Sus scrofa: one gene and its partners. The protein of the gene in region 1 purifies or fractionates together with the protein of each later gene. This does not show direct contact. Links are inferred from orthologs where the notes say so. Each region holds a gene or a part of one and is shown on either strand. Other genes may lie near its edges.

Region 1 (5,170 bases):
AACCACTGCGCCACGACGGGAACTCCTAAAATTACCATGCTTCTTAATGTGTTCTGGGATAATAATTTGTCTTTGATAAATGACTCCATTTCGAAAACTAAAATGTGAATTATGGACTAGGTTTTAAATAAAAATGAAGAATTGTTTCAATTTTGTTAATTGTGATAATGAGATAATATTTACATTTTAAAAAGTTCATATTTTTAAGAAATGCATAGTGAAGTGTTTAAGGATGAGATGACATGATGCCTGGAATTTGCTTAAAAAAAACTTAAGCAAAAAGGAGAGTGAGGAGTTCCCGTTTTGGCACAGTGGTTAACGAATCCGACTAGGAACCATGAGGTTTCGGGTTCGATCCCTGGCCTTGCTCAGTGGGTTGACGATCCGGCGTTGCCATGAGCTGTGGTGTAGGTCGCAGACGTGGCTCGGATCCCGCGTTGCTGTGGCTCTGGCGTAGGCTGGTGGCTACAGCTCCTACTAGATCCCTAGCCTGGGAACCTCCATACGCCATGGGAAGCGGCCCTAGAAAAGGCAAAAAGACAAAAAAAAAAAAAAAAAAAAAAAAAAGAAAGGAGAGGGAAAAGAACACATGAGGAAAATGTGATAAAAACATGATGTTTATTATAACTGAAAGAGGGTCTATAGAGATTCATTATACTATTCTCTCCACATTTTTGTGTTTGAAAGCTTTCATTGAAAGTTTTTTTGTAATATTGTCCAAGTTAAACACATTTCTATTATATAGTTTGAAAAATATATTTGGAAAGTCTGAGTTCATTCTCTATACATTATTAAAAAAATGGCTATTAAACACAAAAATATTTCATTTTTCTTCCAAAATTATTGTACAGTTCAAAGCCTTAAATATTTGTCTTTAATATATGCTGTCAAATACAGAAGAATAAAAATTCTGAATATCAGTAATGAAGATCTCATCAAAATCCCTAATCCACCAAACATTATTGCTTAATTGTTACTGATAAGGTAATCAAGTGAGCATCATGCACAATTCTACAGGTGCTTTTGTAATATCAAAATTAGAAACTACCCACTAATGTAACTTAAAGCTGAACAGCATCTACTCTTAACAGCCATTAAAAATAAAACAAAACATACCTGAATAGATGAAAGAGAACTCTAGATGAATTCACTAATGCTGTTTCGGTAACCCACTGAATGCCAAATATTTCCACTGTATCCTCTTCAAAATTAGTTGGTAAAGGATCGAGATTCAAAATTAGCCTGAAATGAAAACACTGATTTAATCTCACACGATGTGCTAAATCCCGTATATTATATGAATCCATATTACATATGACAAGTCCACCATGATGTTATAAAGTCAAGAAATGCCTGATACATCATGTCTTAGGAATACTGAAGCTAGACTGTATTAAGAATTCAATCCTATATTGTGATTAAGAAAGGATAAGTAAAGAGAAATGTAACTTGAGAAAAAGTCAAAAGGATTCTAGGGAACATACTTTCATCTGTCTTCACTCTGTTCTTCAGTTGTAGAATTTCACCCTTTGAGGGGACATGTAATTTTTAAAACAGTTAAAAGCTATTCTGAACCATGACTAAAGAAGGGCATAATCAAGCTGAATAATATCTTTTAAGGTCTCAAAGAAGGTACAGCTGTGAAAATCCACAAAAATGGTTTCCTTTCTGATGAAATTGCCTCAGCAAACATTTCTAAAATATTTCAATCACAGCAGTTTGACTGCAATATGTGTATACATCCAAAACAAGAGATTTGAAGAATAACATTTCTGTGAATTTATACCATCTGGAGCATTTATTAGAGTGTTAAAGAAAAATAAGTCTATAAGATTTCTGTATGTATAAATATACAGAATTAGAAGACACTGGGGTGACAAAAAATGCATATGTGTACTTAGGAATTATTGAGAAGCTTCAGAACATTGTCTCATGTTTTAGAAGGAAATGCCACTTTAAAAAGCCCAGGTAGTTCAGATTTCACTTTAAATAAAAGGTAAATCAGTGCCCAGCTCCCTACTCCAAAGCGGAGGCAGTAGTGAGGTAAGAAAGCCTCAGGTAACAAGAAAGCTCTCCCTCCAAAAATCTTTCAGATAAACTCCAAGGAGGAAACCAACAGCATAAGCTTGTATCCGTGTGATGTAGTACACCGACTTACAAAAACTGCTTGGTGGTCATCAAAGTTTAATTGCCTGAAGTCATAGTTAAATAACATTCCTAAACAGCCTGATAAAAAATCTGAATAGGGAAAAACAAAGTGTCCGATTTTTTACCTACCGCTTAAGGGCTCCGCTGGAAAGGTAGGACTCTCCAGAAAAATGCCTTCCTCCTCCTCTGTTGTCAAAATCACAAGAAAAGCAAGGGGGGTTGCACCATTCTCTCTCCAGTTCTAGTTCCAAGCTGTCGGTCAGGAATGTTGATGCAGCAGAACAGCTATCCATTGCTTACTTCATGTCCTGAAATTTGTGGGGTTCATTATGATTATCATCAAGGCTCCAAAGAAGTTGTGACGAGATTCCTGGAGGTGGGGCGGGCAGAGAAACTGGAGGTGACCTCAGAAAGTTCCCCAAACGACCCCCAGCACAAAGAAAAAAAACCAAGAAGTCAAATCCTCAGCAACTCTCCCCCAACTGACTCCCGGAGACTAAGGATGTTAGATCTCAGAAATCCCCTTTACGTCGGACCTGCGGCCCGGGACTGGGTTAAGAGGAAAGCAGATTTGCAGGAAAGATCTAGCTTTACTCCAGAGCCCGCCTGGACCTGTGCCCTACGCTACGTTACCAAACCTCACTGAGCCCGTTTTCCTGCAGTGCCGGGAACTATAAGCTCCCCTGCAGACTCAGGGTAGGGACCAGAAGGGCCCGACGCAAAACCCCACTCCTTACGGGGCAAAGGGCAAGTCCCGCCAGATCCGCACAAGGCACCAATCGGCGCGGCCGACCACAGAGCTGGTGTTCTGCACACCCAGGTACCCCCAGTTTAGGGCACGTCGTACCTGCTCACGCTTTCAGTCCCCGAGATCCGCCCTCAGCAGTCCGGACCACAACTAGCGAGTCCGTGGGGTCTAAATCCCAAACAGGCGAAATTCCCGCCAAGGCGCGCCGGCGCTCAGGAAGGGCGGGGCCACCGCGGAGCCCGCCCCCGGAGGTCGGCTCGCGAGGTCTCCGCAGGAACAGCCGGCACTCCTCAAGTTCTCGCGAGAGTCTGCCAGTCAAGGACGCGGTCCGGCAATTTATTGGTTTTTTTTTTTTCTTCTTTCTTTTTTTTTTTTCTTTTTCCTTTGGTAGTTTTAATTGGTACTTTGGGCCAGAAGGCGGGGCCTCACTGAGAAAGGAAACTGGCTGAGGTGAGCAAGGCTTAGGGACTGGCCGGGTTGCCATCTAGCTGAGCTTGGAAAAGAGCTGTGCTCTTGTGAATCCCAAGCTGGTGTCTCCGGACCGTGCCATCCTCTCTTCTTCCCGCGCTAGTACTAGTAGCTCTTTTGTTGAAGTCGAGGATGCCTGTTCTTGGATTGCGGGCAAGGCAAGTGCACAAATGAGACGAATTCACTGTGTGGAAACACTAAGTAGGTCACATGGTACTTGTTTTCGGTATATAAAAACTGCTACTCCCCCCCCCCCCTTTGAAAACCTAACTGGGCAAGATTAAGTTGCTTAAATGTGAACGCTTTTGTAAAGCACCCCTTCACAGCATTTTTATCTTTTGTAAGTGTTCTTTACGATCTACTCTTTAGAAGGTTTTTCAGTCTGAGTCAGAGATAATACAGCTGTCTTCAATGTAAAGAAAACTGAGAATTTCTCATGTAAATGTCCTGCTGTAATTTGAGTATTCTCCATTGCCTATTCCTCTGCAATAGTTTGTCCTGGGTTAAATTCCTACTTAGGGAGTCTGTCACAACTTTGCCCTGTTCAAACGAAATACCACATAGTTTCAGACATAGGGGAAGAAGTGGGGAAAAAATTCCACTTGATTGCAGCCTGGGGCCCCTGTGTTGAATGCTATGTTTTTTGTGCTCAGCCTAGGTACCTACCTGAGACCTGATACTTTGTAGGGAACCACTGCAGCTCATTAGTAGGACGTGTGAGGTCTCTGGCATGGCACATGGTGTCATCTACAAGAATCTCTAGAAACTTAGTGCCTAGGCTTGAGAATATAGGAGAACTGGTACAGCAGATAGCCATTGTTACTTCTTCTATCAAACATCCAAATAGGCCCCTTTTTCCTTCTTCAGGTGCCTGATGTGAAGTGATTAATTTAGTTAAACCAGTGAATGGAATGGGAAGAACAGAAATTCTCTGTGAATAATTTAAGCTAGTGCAATAATGTTATATCGGTAAAAATCCCAGCAAGTAACAGATAGCATACTCAAGAGAGGTGATTGGAAGGTGCTTAATGAAAGGGCAGTTTACAAAGATGTGGACAGTATTGCAGAAAGCAAAAAGTGATGGTGAAGCACCTGGAACTAATCAGAGAGTCAATATTACCTTTAGGCCTAAGGGGTAAGGGAGAAAGGGATTGCCAGGGCCCAGGGAGACTTACTGCAGTAGGAGATAGCCACCTATCACCTGGTAGCCACCTGTGAGTAACTTAATGGAGGCACAAAACCAGTATCAAACTGTATCCAACCGGGAGGAGCTAGAGGGATTAAAAATAGGCAGACCTCCTTTTATTGTGGTTTGCTTTATTGTGCTTCTTAGATAACAGTGTTTTTTAGCAAATTGACAGTTTGTGGCAACTCTGAGTCTAACAAGTCTATTGGCGCCATTTTCTCAACAGCATTTATTTGCTCACTTTGTGTCTCTTGTGTCACATTTTGGTAATTATCACAATGTTTCAAACTTGTTAATTATTTTATTTATTATGGTGATCTGTGATCAATGATCTTTGATGTTACTATTGTAATTATTTTGGGGTGCCATGAACCAGGCCCATGTAAGACAGTAAATTTAATCAGTTCTTGAAATGATAAGATTTAGGATATTACATATACTTAGGTGATAATGCAGCAACAGATTTTGAGAGGAATGATTTCAGTTTTGAAAGAAGTTCTACTGTGAGTAAAATGCTGTCAAACAGCAATGCATGCTATAGAGAAATCACTCAAGAATCAATTGATGTGGCAAATTTCATTGTTGTCTTATTTGAAGAAATTGCCACAGCCACCCTGGCC
Region 2 (5,137 bases), on another chromosome or scaffold:
AGAGTCAAGGAGATGTCCTCGTCCTTGGAGAAGAGGAGGATCAGGAAGTGGTAGCGGGTCTGGCCCTGCTTGATGGGGGGATCCAGGCTGATCTGGGAAGGAAGAGCCGACCAAGTTCAGCAGCAGTCAGTGCTCCACAGGGCCGTGCGGCTAACTGAATGTGGGGGAGATCTGTCTACTAAAGACGGGGGCAAAACCCAGCACAATGCACCCCCAGTGGTTTCTTACCACAAAGAACATCTGGCGCTGGTCCTTGTGGGGCAGCAAAAAGAGACGCAGCACTGTGGTGTAGGGGATCTTGTAATCGAAAGTCTTGCCGTGTAGGTGCAGAAAAGTGGGGTAGATGCGAATGTCGTAACGGCCTCGGGGAGTCAGACACTGCAGCTCCCGGAAGATGCAGATGGCATCTCCGGTGGCCTGGATCACATCCGCCTTCGACAGCACATTCTGGGCAAAGGCCTATAAGAGCACACCCTGGCAATCGAGCAGCAGAGATCCTGCTCCTGGGCCACCCAGGGCCTGCTCAGCACCATCTGCTCCCAAGAGACCAGGGGAGGCCTCACCTCAACGGGGTCCACGCCATCCTCCTGGGTGGGGGGCACGTAGAAGCGCACCTCCATGAGAGAGACCTCTGCATCGTCATTCTGGTGGAATTCCAGTGTCACCTCATTCTTGCCTGTGGTACACTGGGACACGTTGCTGAGAGGGATCTCGAAGACCGGCTGGTCACCAATGTCAAAGGAAAGCAGCTGCCCTGTAGGAAAGGGCACACTGAGCCACAAGCTCCTTCCCTCGGCTCCGCATAAACAATGTTCCTTCCTACCAGCCTAGAGGCTCCCAAAGGACAGGGCACTGAGACCATTTTGTTCGCACTGTGCCCCAGGGACCGGGCACAGTGCCTCATACAGTGTTGGTCCTCGATAAATACGTGATGAATTACAAACTGGTAGGAAATCAGAAACAGCGGAGGAGAGCAAAACAAGTTAAAGGCTGAAACCCTTCAGCCTACCTCCTCCCCGCAAACCTCAATCTTCCCCAGGACTCACCCCCAAACTTCACTGTTCCCCAGTTCCAACCCTTCACACAGAGGTCCTTTTCCATCAGCTCAAGGCGATAGTGAGTTTTGAAGAAATCAGAGAGTTTCTCGAACTCCTGTGGGAAGAGGGGAAAGAACAAGCCCAGTGAAACCCCAGTAGCCTTAACACAGAACTTGAGGGTCCTGAGATTATCTGCTTCTGAGAAACGACCCCAATAAACTTTCATCAGAAATCCACGCTGACTTAGAGCTATAATATTGTTAAAACACTGTTGAAAAAGGCTATTTCTGGGGACTGGCTGGACTCGGGCTGGGGGAGGAGTAAAGTAAGGACTGACACTCCTGCTTGCAGGTCTCACAGTGTTTTTCTGACTTTGGACAGGTATTCCTTTAGTGAAAGTGGAAATGAAGTAAAGTCTTTAACACAAGCCGTTCAAAATGGAAAAACAACACCAACCTAAAACCTCAAGGTAAGCCCCTGAACCTGGATAAGGCAACAGGCAGAAACCACCAAAAAAAAAAAAAAAAAAAAAAAAAAAAAAAAAAAATCAAAACAGTAGAAAAGTTTCTGGAGTTAAAGCACAAAGAAACTCCCGAGACTCTGCAGCCCAAAGCTGAACACTGACTGCTTAATGGCTTCCACGGTCCTGCTTTAAGGATCCCAAACTAGCAACTGCACGGTTATCAGAAGGAGCCCCACTTCTCTCAAGAAGATTAAAACTAAAGAAGATGGCACAGTAAAGGGGGCTATGGCAAGGGGCATCTCACCGATTCTCGGAAGCCGTCGTACTTGTAGACGTGGCCATTTTTCGTGAGCAGTTTAAGTCCATGGCCCAGAGCTACTCGGCGCCAGATCCCTTCGGTCAACTCCCCAGCCTGGATGTTGTCCACTTTGCCCGTTTTACTGTTCTTGAAGATGATGCCCTGGCGGCTCAACCTCAGCCGACCATCATTCTGTTGGGAAAACAGGCCCAAATGCACAGGGACGACCATAGCGTAGAGCAGGGACGGTCCCACCCAACACCCATTCTGGGCTGGTCAGGTATCAGGCAGGAGCAATAACAGCTGAAGTGGTGAGGGCTGGCAAGAAGAGACGAGTAAGGCCAGAAGATCTGGATTCTAATCCTCGCTCTGGCATCCAGAACCCGTGCAGGTCCTCAGTTTGGGGATTCAGGATTGAGCAGCAGGTGTAGTCCCTTCAAACTCTGACATCCTGTAACTCTTGTATCCTCACTCAGTAATGCTTCTTGTTGGGGAACTACCAAATACACATCGAACTGACTTCTTTTCCAAAGTAGCAACATCATCAGCACAAGCTCTTGCGAGTGGATAAAAAGTCTACTCCGCCTCCCTCCCTCCATCTGTTTCAAAAGCCCCAGTCCTTCTTACCATAGAGCCTTTCACCTCCTGATACACGTCGTTGAACTCCAGTGTTTCTGCCATGCTGACCTGCCCCTGTAGGCCTCAACTGGGAGCTGGGCCCCAACTCCTGGGTACGTTGTGCAGATACACAACGCAGGCTGGGAATCTGAATTGAAGAGGGATAAGTGGATTGAAGTTAAGTGGAAAAAACAACACCTCATGCTGGCCACGGAGGGAGCCTAGTGGCAACCCTTCCTGTGCCTGGGATGTCTCACGATCTCCCTGCCTGGGAACCCTGCAAGCCGGTTCTGCAGAACTCCAGGGCCAGGCCCGGCCGGGGCTTAAGAAGCCGGCCCGAAGTACCTCTTACATCCCAACCAGACACCCCCTCTGGGCGCTCCACCGGGCGCCATGGCAACGAGCAGCGGAACCCCTGGGCCATCCGGAGCCCGCACCTCGCCCGCGCCCCAACCCCGCTCAAAAAGCACGAGTTCCCTCCCAGCGCTCCCACCGCGCCGCGGCCCCAGGCCCACAGTTCTCCCCTCCCGCTAAAATGGATTCGCCCGCTGCCCGCGGATTCCAACGCGGAACAGTCCATCCCACGCGTCCCGCGGGGGAGCAGGGCCCTCGCCTTCCTGGGGCGCGGCGATAGCGACCACCTACTTTCTCAAGCTGCGGCCTCAGACGGCCCGCAAGCGGGCGGTGGGCTCGCTGGGGGACGCAGCGGGGGTGTAGGGTCCGGGGGGTCCGGGGGGGACGCTGGGGAAGCTTTTCCCGCGTGCGCGGCCCCGCGTCCCGCCACCGGAAGCCCAGCACGGACCATAGAGAGGAGGAGCCGGCTAGAGAGGCGCGAAACGCGGCCCGCCTTCGAGGCGGTCCCATAGAGCGTCCACAGCGCTGGAGGACCTGAGGGAAGCCGGGTTACACTGATGTCCCGCCCGTTTGGCGTCCGACTAGAAAATGGGAGCGTGTCGGGCTCTTTAAAAATCACAGACACTCCTTCCGGGAACGACAAGACTTTAAAGAGAAACTGTGTAGTTGCATTTTATCAGACTTGCCAAAGATGCGTGTGCGTGCGTAGCAATGACGGGCGACTCTCTCCCGCCCCATAGTGGTTTCTGTGGAATAGAAAGGAGTTTGTAGGACAAGAAGGAAAATATTTAACGACTTGTGGAGAGAAATGACCCCTCCCACTGGCTTCGAAGAGAATGCGAGTGTTGGTATCGCTGTGACTATACTGCTCACCCCTGTCACAAGGGATTGGATCCTTTTTGAAGTGAGTTCACTGCACCCCAAAACTTGACATCGATAAATGCAAGGTTTGAGTCTCCTGGAAGAGGCTGGCCAGCGGCGGCGGCGGCGGCGGTATCAGGTTCAAGTGCTGGTGTCACATTCACCGTGGAGCCAGAACTGATTTGAAATCACAGCAGCCTGGGCTTTCATAAGCCAGATCCCCCTTATGGAGTCCTAGGGTGCACCTCGCAAAATCAGAGGAGGCTGGACGAGTAAGAGATGTTTGGATTCGTCTGCTCCAGCTTCCTTTTGAAGATCGGGAAACTGAGGCCCTAAGAGGAGTGGCCTGGGGAACAAAACCCAAAATCTACTTAGCCCGTCTAGTGATTCTCCATTCGGAATGATTGATAATAGATGTCAAGTATACAAAACATTGAGACAGAATATTTAAACTCCAGATTTCTTTGACAGTCTGACCTACAGTTACCCCAGCTTGGGACACAAGATGACGTGAATGCACTGTTGCTCCCTGAACTCACGACTTTAACCTCTGGGTAATGGCTGTTCCCACGCTATCTAGCAACATAAGCCAACTAGATTCAACAGATATGTGTTGAACTCTAACACAGTGATAGGATTTGTGGAAACTAGTAAACAAGATGGAAACAGCCCCAGTTTTCCAGGCATGTGACATCTAATAAATGATTCAAATAAGTAAACTGATGGTAAAACAAAATAGAACAAGAAAATACCCAATGTGGGAGTTCCCTTCGTGGCTCAATGGTTAATGAACCCAACTAGGCTCCACAAGGATGTGGGTTCGATCTCTGACCTCCTTCAGCGGGTTAAGGATCTGGTGTTGCCGTGAGCTGTGGTGTAGGTCGCAGAAGCAGCTCGGATCCCACGTGGCTGTGGCTGTGGCATAGGCCGGCAGCTGTAGCTCTGATTCGACCCCCTAGCATTGGTAACCTCATATGCCATGGGTACGGCCCTAAAAAGCAAAAAAAGAAAAAGAAAAGAAAAAGGAAAAAAACCCAATGTGATAGTGCTCTGCAGGTAGAGCTTCAGTCACTGCCAACATGAGTAAGAAATAGGAACTATGTAACCCCAATCACCCTCACCCAGGAGACCAAGAGAAACATTCAGGAGACCCCTCCCCTTGACCCATGTATTGCCGGCAACTCAGGAAGGGAGGAGACGCCTGCAGAATTGAACGGCTTTAAGGAAGACACTCTGGATTGAAGGGGATACTCAGCTCAGGCAGGCTATTAGGTGGCTGGGGAGTGGTGTGTTGCAAGGGGCTTTAAAGAGAGCATGAAGCAGCTGGTGAGCCGGGATGAAGATGCAGCATAAGAGGATGGAACCGAAACGATAGACAGAGTGCAGATAAAACATGAGTCCTAGAGGGCCCTAGCCAGCTGCATCCCAGGCAATCAGGAGCCTGGGATTGGAGACCCCACCCCTACCATGACATCACAGGGGAGTGGGGTGGAGACGAACAAAAAG
Region 3 (5,010 bases), on another chromosome or scaffold:
AGTAATCAACACAGCAAAAACTCATTCCTACTGAATACAGGACATGTTTGCATACAGGTAACACTGTGTACTTAACCTTCTGAGAAATTTTAAGGGTAAACTGACTACATTACATTTTGTCTTTATGCCTTAACTTTATAATCTAACCACTGCACAAGATGGTCCTCCCTTATGTATGAAAGCAAACCCCAAACCAATGATGATGAAAGACATGTAAAAACAAAATTACTGTAGTTCAACTAGCTGGAGAATCTGTTCCGTGATTTTAAAAACAACTTATTGGAGTTCCCTGATGGTTAAGGATGCAGCATTATCACTGCTGTGGTGCAGGTTCGATCCCTGGCCTGGGAACCTCCACATGCCATGGGTGAAGCCAAAAATTAAAAAACAAAACCAACTTAACCAATAGGGCTTTTTCTGTTTATCATTTTCCCTTTATTTATAATCATACATATGAACCTTGGCTTGTCTATAGCATGTTAAGTGTGGGTCAGAACATCTGGCTCTAAGACTTATTCAAGCAGCATCCGTTGAATTTCTCAATTAAATAGGGGAAAAACACATCTAATGTATTGAATGTGGACTCATGATTTGCAAACATCTATTTCCAGATGCTAAGAAGAAGAGAGAGCAAAAGAGGTTCAGAGCCCTTGAGAAATGGGTCAGACTGGGGGCTGAGTGTTCAAATCTTCAGTTACCAGTATCTGAAGTCACTAGGAAACAAGACTGAGATTTCTCCAGGATCTGAGAGAATTCTAAAGCCAGACCCACTCCATCTGTTTGGGAGGCAGGAAACAAATTCTCTCTGCTCTGTGGGAAGAGGCAGAAAGCAAGTTGGCAGGTCAGAGTCAAGGATAGCCCTAGAGGTACAACAAAAGACTCTACATTTCCAGGTTTTCTAACTGGAATTTCTCTGAGCAAAAGCTTCACTGTCCAGGTATAATTAATAATAGCACCACCTTTCCCTCTTTTGACAGTGTTTTCATGTGGAAATAAAATCTATGGTCAGTCCTATTTACATTCCACAGGAGAGGCCTTTCCCTGGTTACAGAAAGATAAAGAACTTTGGACAAAGAACTCAGAGACAAGACCTAGTGTCAATAATTCTACAAACTGGCTATGTGACCTTGGAGAAATCATTCCATTTCTCTCTATTAAAAGATAATGACCGGGGATCCCAGTGTGGCTCAGTGGTTAATGAAGCTGACTAGTAACCATGAGGTTGCTGGTTTGATCCCTGGCTGAGCTCAGTGGGTTAAGGATCTGGCGTTGCCGTGAGCTGTGGTGTAGGTCGCAGATGAGGCTTGGATCCATCGTTGCTGTGGCTGTGGTGTAGGCCGGCAGCTGTAGCTCCAATTTGACCCATAGCTTAGGAACCTTCATATGCTGTGGGTGCAGTCCTAAAAAAGAAAAAAAAAAAAGAAAGATAATGATCAGCAGGTTGACTTTAGCCTTTCCTGTGCTGATTCTAGTAACAGATTAGTAAAGTAACAGGAGAGGAACTTTGTAGGAGTAAATGTACTAGATAATGACCATGCAACCATGTTTAACCCCGAGGATCACAAACAGACATACTGAAACTCAATCTTCTGCCATCTGGCTCTGTGAATCCCTTAACCTATTAGCTCCTTACATCTCCTCCTAGCTTTAAAATGAAATCTTATTCCACAGGGTGATTCTTCACTTTATTTATTTACACTGTCTTGTTCCAGAAAGGATTTAACTGGGCTTATACTATAGTCACAAGTAGATTCCTTAATTTAGAAAGGAGAGAAACAGGGAAGATTGATCCATTGGCCCAGTCTAAGCACACACACACACATATATCAAAAGGGTTATCAACTCCAGGCTAGACCAAGTGGCTAATTTGCATGCAAAGCACACACCTACCACTGAGAGGTGCTAGTTAGCACACCCTGGCCTCACAGATCTCCACCTCCTTAGCCGCTGCCTCTTAACCACTAAGTGGAGAAGAGGTCTAATGGAGTACTTTCTCCCGAAAGTGGTGCCAAAACTCTCTGAATGACCTTAGATTTTTTTTTGATTTTTATAGAAGTACAAAAAAGGTGTTTTACTCTTTGTGGATCCCATGCTCTCATCTGTGAGATGAGAGTCATGTCCACCTTTGTCACACAGATGAATAAGTACATCTATAAAAGCGCCTTGAAAAAGATGCACAAAAGGTTGTGACCTCTGAGCTGATTGAAGCCAGATACCTTCATGGCTCAGCCTGGCATACCCACCCTCCAGATTAGGTCAGACCATCAAAAGTGGGGGAGAATTGCTACAGTAAGTCAGCAGGAATCTGGCAGGCAAATGGTAAGAACCAACTTATGCTTGTTTGGCCATGCTTCCCCAGGTAGAGCATCAGCAAGCAGGGAGGAGATTATGGGAAGACAGATGGGAAGATGGGGGTGAGTGAGGTCTTGTCACAGGGGGAGAGGGTCTTCATTGGGAAAATGGAACAGGGGGCTGAAGTTGCCATATAGGAAAGGGGCGGGAGCTGGGGTTTCCATAAGGAAAATGGGAGGGTGCTGAGGTTTCCATAGGGAAATTGGGAGGGGGCTTGGATTTCCATAGGAGAAATTCGAGGGGGCTGGAGGTTGGGGTTTCCATAGGAAAAAAGTGAGATGGGAGTGCCTCACCACAGGGGACAGCCTTTTGGTGGGGAGGACTGAATGGCTGGAATGGCGGCTTGCCCCTAAATAGTAGGTAGGTAGGGGCAGTCTCTTGCTACAGGAAAGTCAGGGTGGCTGACGGTCTCTACCTAGAAAACGGGTACCCAAGAGGAGAGCTACAGGAAAAAGAGGGGGATAATGAGGTTTTCACGGGGGAAAACGCGAGTAACCATAGGGGTACGGTGAAGGGGTAGTTTCCCAAAGGGGAGGTTAAGGCTGGGGGTGGGTGTTGGTTTACGGGAAATCAGATTTGGGGGAGAGGGGGTGTTTCACAGGGTTGTCTCCAAGGGGAGGGTCGGGGCGGCCCAGGGGAGGGGGGTCGCTCCACGCAGGCCCAGTCTCACCGTCCGTCAGGGCCTCATTGCACTCGAAGCTGATCTCGAACCGGAAGGGGCTGTGGAAAGGGCTCGGATTCTCCAGAACAGCCACGTTCAGCACCGACACCTTAGCCATTGCCTCGTCGGGCCGAGGCTGAAGCCAGAGCTGGGGCCAAGACTACGTTTGGGTCTTGTCAGGTCAGCAGAACAGCGTTACCCAAAACTGCTCGCGCCTCCTCCGATCGCGGTCTGAAGAGCTAATCTTCTTCGCGCGCCTCCTTCAAATAGCCGGCCCCACCCTCCAGCCAATCACCGTCAACGCTCCCTGGCGGCGCGAGCGCCCCCCCAGCCAATCCTGGAGCGTCGGTAGGCAAGCGCCGAGACTCCCGAGACCAATCGGTGGAGCTCCCTCTTCTGGATGCGGGAGGGAGGCGGGACAGTCTCTTGGCTTCTTTGGGAGTCCGCCGGGAACCAATCCCTAGAGTCTCCGACTCGAATGTCAAGGGCGGGGTGGGCGGGGTCAAAACGCAGGGCTCTTCTTGGCCAATCCCGAGGGTCCCCGCACTAGCGCTGTCCGGACTTAGCCCCGCCCTTCCGGGAGGTGCTTCCAGCCGCGGGCAGCGCCGCCAACCGTCAATTGGTGGCGCGCGGCGCTCGCCAAATCCCCTCTTAAAGTGCGGGAAGGGCGGTGCTTGACCTGCGGTGATTGGCAGGCAGGGGTGGGGCGGGAATAAAGCCGATTCTCTGAGAGTTTATTGGCTGAGTTGACCTTGGGGGGCGGGAGGAAATAAGACTCGGTGGGGGATTCGTAGGAGTGGAGCGGAAGTCGACTGCCGGCGCTGTTGAGCGGGGTGTAAGAAGAGAAAGGAAGAGCGTTTGCGGCTCTGGAGTCTCAGCAGGTGAGCGTTGCCGGAAGTTTCTCTATGGGTCTCCTGGCCCTTCAGGCCCAGCGGCCCGGGAGTCCGTTGTGAACGTTGTGAACGTTTAACCCATCCCTGAAGGGAGACGGTGTGACAGTAACGGGGCTCACGGGGGCCTGGGTCGCGGGAGTCGGGCTTGGTTCGAATCCGGCTTTTTCCCCTTCGAGAGCCTCTGGGGAGGTTTCAGGTAGACACGCTGTAAATGAGAGTTCGAGTCCGGCCTCTTCCACTTACCTCTCGAGGCCACCCTTCCCCGCGCGTTGAACAGGGTCATGAAAATTTACTGGCAGGATTTATGACTGCATAATACATCTAGAAACTTTACTCCCACACTGGGGCTGGAGCGCCGTCGCCCCCTGTCTGGAAGACTGTAGGGACATCCGCACTCACTCCCTGCTTCCACCTGTGACAGCGCACCTAGTTTTACACTTTTCTGAAGTTAACCACGTTTTTTAAAAAAGTTTAAAAAGTTAATTTTAACATACTCTTAAATATATTAAAATTTAGCTGAAACACCTTTTCAGCATATGTTCAGTATTAAAAAATACAACACAGGTAGCTTACATTTTGTTACTCAGCACGAAGCTGTTGAAATCCTTTATTTTACTTAACAACACGTCTGTGATCTGGACGCTACATTTTCACTGAAAATTAGCTTAGATTTCATAAAATTTACAGCTGTATTGTAGACTCATATGCCCACGCTGTTCCCAGCAAGCTTAAAAGTTTCCCATGAGTTAGATCTCATGTCGGTTTTATTTATTTTTTTAATTGTATTTTTTTTTTTTGTCTTTTTTTTTTGCTATTTCTTGGGCCACTCCCGCGGTATATGGAGGTTCCCAGGCTAGGGGTCTAATCGGAGCTGTAGCCACCGGCCTACGCCAGAGCCACAGCAACGCAGGATCTGAGCCGTGTCTGCAACCTACACCACAGCTCACGGCAATGCCGGATCGTTCGTTAACCCACTGAGCAAGGGCAGGGACCGAACCCGCAACTTCATGGTTCACTAGTCGGATTCGTTAACCACTGCGCCACGACGGAAACTCCTCATGTCGGTTTTAAATTGAAATGTTAGTTGATGAAAGTTAGGTGATA

The links.
Region 2: the proteins of MMS22L (region 1) and SSRP1 purify together in Homo sapiens (affinity purification with mass spectrometry; 3 studies listed by BioGRID and IntAct, counting the BioPlex papers as one, with this or other methods). This does not show direct contact. The link is inferred for Sus scrofa from reciprocal best matches to the Homo sapiens genes MMS22L and SSRP1.
Region 3: the proteins of MMS22L (region 1) and ASF1B purify together in Homo sapiens (co-immunoprecipitation; 4 studies listed by BioGRID and IntAct, counting the BioPlex papers as one, with this or other methods). This does not show direct contact. The link is inferred for Sus scrofa from reciprocal best matches to the Homo sapiens genes MMS22L and ASF1B.

Annotation. Positions count from the first base shown.
Region 1 is NC_010443.5:64,456,818-64,461,987, forward strand, and holds the start of MMS22L (protein MMS22-like), read right to left. Parts: upstream 3,140-5,170; 5' UTR 2,996-3,139; intron 2,519-2,995; exon of another isoform or gene 2,457-2,518; 5' UTR 2,442-2,456; coding exon 2,278-2,441; intron 1,243-2,277; coding exon 1,117-1,242; intron 1-1,116. UniProt on the Homo sapiens protein: Component of the MMS22L-TONSL complex, a complex that promotes homologous recombination-mediated repair of double-strand breaks (DSBs) at stalled or collapsed replication forks.
Region 2 is NC_010444.4:13,617,806-13,622,942, reverse strand, and holds the start of SSRP1 (FACT complex subunit SSRP1), read right to left. Parts: upstream 3,223-5,137; 5' UTR 3,062-3,222; intron 2,565-3,061; 5' UTR 2,480-2,564; coding exon 2,426-2,479; intron 1,991-2,425; coding exon 1,805-1,990; intron 1,153-1,804; coding exon 1,047-1,152; intron 755-1,046; coding exon 564-754; intron 460-563; coding exon 229-459; intron 93-228; coding exon 1-92. UniProt on the Homo sapiens protein: Component of the FACT complex, a general chromatin factor that acts to reorganize nucleosomes. The FACT complex is involved in multiple processes that require DNA as a template such as mRNA elongation, DNA replication and DNA repair.
Region 3 is NC_010444.4:65,061,398-65,066,407, reverse strand, and holds the start of ASF1B (histone chaperone ASF1B), read right to left. Parts: upstream 3,223-5,010; 5' UTR 3,132-3,222; coding exon 3,023-3,131; intron 1-3,022. UniProt on the Homo sapiens protein: Histone chaperone that facilitates histone deposition and histone exchange and removal during nucleosome assembly and disassembly. Cooperates with chromatin assembly factor 1 (CAF-1) to promote replication-dependent chromatin assembly.